Macaca mulatta: one gene and its partner. The protein of the gene in region 2 binds, or shares a complex with, the protein of the main gene of each other region. Links are inferred from orthologs where the notes say so. Each region holds a gene or a part of one and is shown on either strand. Other genes may lie near its edges.

Region 1 (3,655 bases), on a different chromosome or scaffold from region 2:
GTGGCACAATCTCAGCTCACTGTAAGCTCCACTTCTCAGGCTCAAGCAATCCCTCCACCTCAGCCTCCCGAGTAGCTGGGACCACAGGCGCATGCCACCAGGTCCAGCTAATTTTTGTAACTTTTTGGATAGAGATGGAGTTTCACCATGTTGCCCAGGCTGGTCTCAAACTCCTGGGCTAAGGCAATCTGCCTGCCTCAGCCTCCCAAAGTGCTGGGATTACAGGTGTGAGCCACTGCGCCTAGCCAAGAATATTGTTTCTATCAAAAAAGTTAATACTTTACTTTAGAAAGAAAATATGCTGTCAAATTAGGAATGGAATGAATAAGACAGTTATTTAAAAAGTGGGAGTGGGCTATAAAAATCTAGAAAGAATCCGCATTCAGGTTGCATCCTAGTGTCTAAGATCTTATTTGACTTTAAAGAGACCCAAAATGGGAATTATAAGCAGTGCATTGTGGGTGTAGGATACGCAGAAAGACAACACAGAAGTCTAATCAGTGAATTCATACTCAAAAGGCCTTATATTTTTTAAATAGCAAATGATTCTACATTGATATATTTCTGATAAAATACTGAAATATTTTAAGGTATGTACAGTGTTTTATGACTTCCTAGCATAAGACCTTTTTTTTTTTTTTGAGACAAGGTTTTGCTCTGTTGCCCAGGCTGGAGTGCAGTCGCATGATCAGAACTCACTGCAACTACCTCCCCAGTTCAAGCACTCCTCCCTCCTCAGCCCCCAAAGTAGCTGAAACTACAGACACATGCTACCACACCCGGCTGATTTTTTGTATTTTTTGTAGAGACGGGTATTTGCCTGCCTTAGCCTCCCAAAGTGCCAGGATTACAGGCATGAGCCATTGTGCCTGGCCTTAAGACCTTTTGATTAATTGATCAACTATTGTCCTCACTATATCAGTAAAAGGATTTCTAACTCAGGAACCTCTCAACATCTAGCACCATTTTCCAGAACTTAGTTCATTTAAAGAGGAAACAGGAAATCTCAGAGACACAAAGTAATATAAAAAGTTTCACACTTACTGTCAGTTCCTTCATGGTAATGTTCAAATACTGGCAAAGTAACACCTGTTAAACATAGAAGCATATATGGATTCACAAACCTTTAAGTTCTTTTTGTTGTTGTTGTTTTTGCCAAGGCTAGAGTGCAATGGCATGAGCTCACCTCACCACAACCTCTGCCTCCCAGGTTCAAGCAATTCTGCCTCAGCCTCCTGAGTAGGTGGTATTACAGGCATGTACCACCACACCCGGCTAATTTTGTATTTTTAGTAGAGACGAGGTTTCTCCGTTTGTTGGTAAGATGGGTCTCGAACTCCCGACCTCAGGTGATCAACCTCCCAAAATGCTGGGATTACAGGCATGAGCCACCGCGCCTGGCCTAAGTTCTGTTTCTTAATCACTGTTTTCTGTGTTTCTTTTTCAGCGAACTCAAAAGTCAAGAGCTTAAGTCTGGAATTGTAATTCGTTTCAATTAATGAATTTAGGAACTTGCCTTCTTTTTTTTTTCTTTTTGAGACAGAGTCTCACTCTGTCGCCCAGGCTGCAGTGCGGTGGTGTGGTCTTCAGCTCACTGCAACCATCGCCTCCTGGGGTCAAGTGATTCTCCCACCTCAGCCTCCTAAGTAGTTGGGACAACAGGCACATACCACGCCCAGCTAATTTTCTTTTTTTTTTTTTAAGAGGAGTTTCGCTCTTGTTACCTGGGCTGGAGTGCAATGGCACAATCTCAGCTCACCACAACCTCTGCCTCCTGGGTCCAAGTGATTCGCCTGCCCCAGCCTCTCGAGTAGCTGGCATTACAGGCATGTGCTACCACATCCGGCTAATTTTGTATTTTTAGTAGAGATGGAATTTCTCCATATTAGTCAGGCTGGTCTTGAACTCCTGACCTCAGGTGATCCGCCCACCTCGGCTTCCCAAAGTGCTGGGATTACAGGTGTGAGCCACCACGCCCAGCCTAATTTTTGTATTTTTTGGTATAGATGGGGTTTCACCATGTTAGCCAGGCTGGTCTTGAACTCCTGACCTCAAGTAATCCACCTGTCTCAGCTTCCCAAAGTGCTGGGATTACAGGTGTGAGTCACTATGCCTGACCTAATTTTTGTATTTTTTGGTAAAGATGGGGTTTCACCTTGGCCAGGCTGGTCTCAAACTCCTGACCTCAGGTGATCCACCCATCTCAGCCTCCCAAAGTGCTGGGATTACAGGTGTGAGCCACCACATCCAGCGGAACCTGCCTTATTTTTCATTTTTTATTTTTAGATGAAGTCTCACTCTGTCGCCCAGGATGGAGTGCAGTGGTGCAATCTCAGCTCACTGCAACCTCTGCTTCCTGCGTTCAAGCGATTCTCCTGCCTCAGCCTCCCAAGTAGCTGGGACTACAGGTGCATGCCACCACGCCCGGCTAATTTTTATATTAGTAGAGATGGGGTTTCACCATGTTGGCCAGGCTGGTCTCAAACTCCTTGACCTTATGATCCGCCCGCCTCGGCCTCCCAAAGTGCTGGGATTACAGACATGAGCCACCGTGCCTGGCTGGACCCTGCCTTCTTAAGTGTTCACTTCTATACAAAAGTCAAATTATTTTCAGTAATTAGAAACCTGGTTGTTAATGATTTTAACATGTAAAGCCAATCAACTTGTTCTAAGTAGAAGGAAGAAACTAGGACATTAAGATCTTGCTGTATAAACAGGTTAATTTTAAAATGTCACCTCTTTTCTCCCCAAAGAGTTTCTAAAAGGTTGAAATGTTACCTGCTACATTATCTTTCTTCGCTCGAATCTTCACTTGGGCTTTATTTACATTTTGGATAACTGTAGTGCTGCAGAAAAAGAGAAAGCCTTTATTTAGCAGACTGTTTAGAAATAAACCTCTAGGGACTCATTGGATAGTTTTACGTTAAATGAGACCAAGAGTGAGATGTCACAATTAAGTATGTTTTGATAACTGTCCTCTTTCCAAAAAGGGAGAAACATCATTACTGCCAGAGGAGGGCCTCTGAAAGCAGAGAATGAACAATATTCAAAACATTAGCAGTAAGAAAACAACAAAGAATGATTTTAAAGTTCGTGGATTGCTTATGTTTTCAGTCAGAGGTGTGCCACATGGATGTAACCGTAAGAGTTCTTCTACTAGTGTAAGATGGAGAAAACTTCTTCCTAGGTTTCCCGTTGAATTGATTAAGCTGGCGTTCAGTTCCTTTACCCTGGAAACATCTTGCATCTGGCTTTGTGTGACTTCTCAAATGTTACCAGAAAGTGCCTTCCTGGCAGGGTGCGATAGCTCACGCCTGTAATCCCGGCACTTTGGGAGGCCGAGGCAGGAGGATTGTTTGAGGGGTTCAAAACCAGCCTGGGCAATGTGGCGAAACCCAAAAATACAAAAATTAGCCAGTCTCATAACCCAGTCTCAAAACAAAACAAAAATAAATATTATAGAAAGTGTCTTTCCCATAACCACCCTAAAACACTCACATACCACTTATACACTATTGATCTCCACCCTCTGCTAGAAAATTCAATGCAAGCTGTGATCTTGCCAGCACTGGCAAAAATTAAAGCCTACCACTTCAAAGGGCCTTTTTAAGGCCCAAGAGCAGTGAAAGCTCCTAGATAATAGGCATCATGTCAT
Region 2 (3,655 bases):
TCATTTCCAATTTTGATTATGAAAATCTTCTGAACAACAACAAAGTTGAAAGAATTTTACAGTGGACTTCCAATCTCTACCAGTTAGAGTCTACCTTTAGCATTTTACTATATTTATCACATATCTATTTATCTTCTAGAATACATATACTTTTAAGTGAAAAAAAGCAAGGTGTATAACAGTACATATAATATGCTATCTTGGGAGGCCGAGGCGGGTGGATCACGAGGTCAGGAGTTCAAGACCAGCCTGGCCAAGATGGTGAAACCCCGTCTCTACTAAAAATACAAAAAATTAGCTGGGTGTGGTGGCACACGCCTGTAATCCCAGCTACTCGGGAGGCTGAGGCAGAGAATAGGTTAAACCTGGGAGGCAGAGGTTGCAGTAAGCTGAGATCGTGCCACTGCACTCCAGCCTGGGCGACAGAGCAAGACTCCATCTCAAAAAAAACAAACAAACAAAAAACAAACACATATAGAGAGAGAAAAAGGAAAGAAAAATACAAATATTTGTATTTGCTCATGTCTGTAATTACTAAACTAGAAGGATATACAATAAAGGGAGCTATAAATGTGGTTGCATGTGTGCATGGAAGTGTGTATGTGTTTTGATAAATGGCTAGATACAAGACAACAAAGGCAAGGAGGGTTGTCACTGTTTACATTTTCATTTATTTTAATCTTCAAGCCATGTAAAAGATTAAACAAAAGATAAAAGTAACAATAGAAAAAATATTTCTGATTAGTTACAATTTCATAGCTACAAAAACTTCTGTTTTTATTTAAAATTTTTAGATGATTTTGTTTTAAATTGGCACCTAGTACTATAGAGAGACTAGTTAACTGCATGCATGTGTTTTAGAATGGCCAAAAACATCATACCAAATAAATCTTGATTAAATACTCAAATAATTAATGGGGATTTTGAGAATCAAAGTAAAACACATATAGAAGCACTAAAAAAGTGATTCTTCTTCACTAGGCTTAACCCTTTATGCTTATTTTTCATAGAAAATTGAAAATAAATACTATGTTTAAAAGCCAAAATTATGATAACCAAATAGTAAAGCTTTCCTAGTAATAAAACTGAAATGTAATACGTCACTCGGTGCTATTATGGTGACCAATTTATTTGTGGACTTACTATTTTAAACCGAAATCATAATTGGAGAATTTTAACTTCACAAATCAATATTGTTATTCTGTTTACGCTTTCTTCCACAGTATGTGTCCCACTGAAGAAAAAGTTCAGTTGATCCCCCTGAAGTTCATGAATTACTGAAGCAGTAAGAGCAATGAAAGTTCAGAAGATACTAATTTCTTAAAATAAGAATATTAATTCATAGTACCTTTCTCTCTTTCTTTAACGTACTCCGGTATAATTTAGGTCTCTTCACAACACCAGCATTTCATGCTTCTAATAACATTAGTTGTTGCTGCTTTGCTGCTTCTACCTTTGGCTTAAATCCTTACTTTTTTTTTTCTTTTCTGAGACAGAGTCTCACTCTGTCACCCAGGCTGGAGTGCAGCGGTGCAATCTTGGCTCACTGCAACCTCCCTCCTCCGGGGTTCAAGCGATTCCCCTGCCTCAGTCTCCCGAGTGGCTGGAATTACAGGCGCCTGCCACTACGCCCAGCTAATTTTCTTATTTTTATTAGAGATGGAGTTTTACCATGATGGCCAAGCTGGTCTCAAATTCCTGACCTCAGGTGATCTGTCTGCCTCGGCCTCCCAAAGTGCTGGGATTACAGGTGTGAGGCACTGTGCCTGGCCTAAATCCTTAAATTTTGAAATATAGAAAGTGGCAGGAAATTGAGCCAAAAAGGATACAAGTTTCTTCATACACCTGAATAGTAGCCATGTCACCCTCCAATCGAATAATCTCTCCAACCAACTCGCTGTGGCCCACTCTCACCAGCTCATACATGGCTGCACCCGCCATGTCACAGGCTGTAACCACTGAAGAGAACAAAAGACTATTTTGATGACTTAAAACTCTAGTGTTCTGTGAATAGTCACAAATTATTAAAACACCCAATAAACCCAGTATCGTGCCTCTCTCATATATTCATAAGAAGAATAAAAACCTACTATTGAACATACTGGTAGTTTCACATAGATACATTTTTAGTGTATAATATAAACAGATAAGCCAAAGATTATTTATTTACATAATATACATGAAAACTTTTCAAACATTTCAAGTTCTGCACGGCAAACTTACCTGGTAGGATTCAAGTATGTTCTGAGAGTTGCTATGATATATGGAGTGAAGGCTTTGGAACAATAAAAAAACTTTTAAAAGTAGAAATTGGAATAAATGGTTTGGCTAGTAGTATGGTGGAATGCCACACAATTATCACTTTGCTATGCTGTTACCATTTCCTTTGAGAGACAGACCTAAAGGAACATCTTTACTTTCTAACAACTTACAGCAGTGGTTCTTAAAACTATTCTGGGACATGGACCCTTTTGAAAAACTAATAATAGCTCTACTAGAAAAACTCACACGCACATCTACAAAATTTTTTTCATAGGCCATAAGGATATTTACAATCAGTCACCACCACTGGGTAAGAAATTATCAATGGAATTCCATTTACTGAACTTACTATTTTGGACCATGTTGTCTAGTAAGCAAAACTTACTTTTCTAGCAGGGAGGAAAGGAAAGGTTGCCATATTTTTAGACACGTGTAAGAATAAACCAATTTTTAATATTTAGCCTTGTGATACAACTGATTAGAACTATATAACAGGTAATACTTCAGTGGAAACTATTAAAGTTTTATGAGTTAATTAACCTGTGTTAAAACAATGAAGACTTATTCATTCTGTAAATATTTCCCTCTATACTGATTACTTAAGAATTAAGATGCACTGAAATACCAGAGATAGTGAAATTTAAAAATCATATTTCATAAGCCAAAAAAGGATGCCATTGTTCCATTGCCTTATTAAGTACTTAAGAATTAAAAATTGCAGGAGGCAAGGGGAGGGAGAGCATTAGGACAAATACCTAATGCATGTGGGGCTTAAAACCTATATAACAGATTGATAGGTGCAGCAAGCCACCATGGCACATGTATACCTATGTAACAAACCTACACTTTCTGCACATGTATCCCAGAACTTAAAAGTAAAATCTAAAAAAATTTTTTTTTAAAAATTGTTTCCAGGAGCAGTTTACTACACAGTTTCACAGAGTATTTTTTCCTGAACTCTTTGATGTTCTTTTGCTTTTTCTCTAAAAGTTCTTGGGTTTAGCCTGTCCTTCCTAAAGACCCTTATGATCATTGAGAGGACAATTATTTCTCTGCATGGCAAAAGATACTGATAACCTTTTAATGACTTGCCAATGAAATCAAGCTCAAACACCAAGTTCTTGGGGGAGAAAAAAGGGGACAGTGACTGACAGTTTTCATTTGCATAAACATCAAAAAACTGTCATCACCACTACTGTAACTGGAACAAGAAAAAGACTATATAGCATGAGGTTTGAAGGATAATACATCACTAAGCAGGCTTTACTTAGAGAAACTGTGACTGTGAATCACATTTTGTAGAGGGAGTATTCAATAACAAAACAAATACTGGCGCAAGATTTATTATTTAAAAAGCAGCACTCCACGTTTTGGCAGAATGGACACAAAGTTT

The links.
Region 1: the proteins of ATP6V1A (region 2) and ATP6V1D are in contact, whole or in part, in a cryo-EM structure (PDB 9B8P), measured with the Rattus norvegicus proteins. The link is inferred for Macaca mulatta from reciprocal best matches to the Homo sapiens genes ATP6V1A and ATP6V1D. Residues at the interface, in NP_001101788.1 of Rattus norvegicus: Ala366, Met368, Pro369, Ala370, Asp371, Ser372, Asp416, Ser418, Asp436, Lys438, Glu491, Gln494, Leu495, Val496; in NP_955418.1 of Rattus norvegicus: Lys4, Asp5, Arg6, Arg167, Ala171, Val175, Ile176, Arg179, Tyr186, Glu190, Arg194, Glu197, Tyr200, Arg201, Lys204, Ile205, Lys208.

Annotation. Positions count from the first base shown.
Region 1 is NC_133412.1:140,512,276-140,515,930, forward strand, and holds part of ATP6V1D (V-type proton ATPase subunit D), read right to left. Parts: intron 2,847-3,655; coding exon 2,779-2,846; intron 1,090-2,778; coding exon 1,045-1,089; intron 1-1,044. UniProt on the Homo sapiens protein: Subunit of the V1 complex of vacuolar(H+)-ATPase (V-ATPase), a multisubunit enzyme composed of a peripheral complex (V1) that hydrolyzes ATP and a membrane integral complex (V0) that translocates protons.
Region 2 is NC_133407.1:169,945,786-169,949,440, forward strand, and holds part of ATP6V1A (V-type proton ATPase catalytic subunit A), read right to left. Parts: intron 1,959-3,655; coding exon 1,830-1,958; intron 1-1,829. UniProt on the Homo sapiens protein: Catalytic subunit of the V1 complex of vacuolar(H+)-ATPase (V-ATPase), a multisubunit enzyme composed of a peripheral complex (V1) that hydrolyzes ATP and a membrane integral complex (V0) that translocates protons.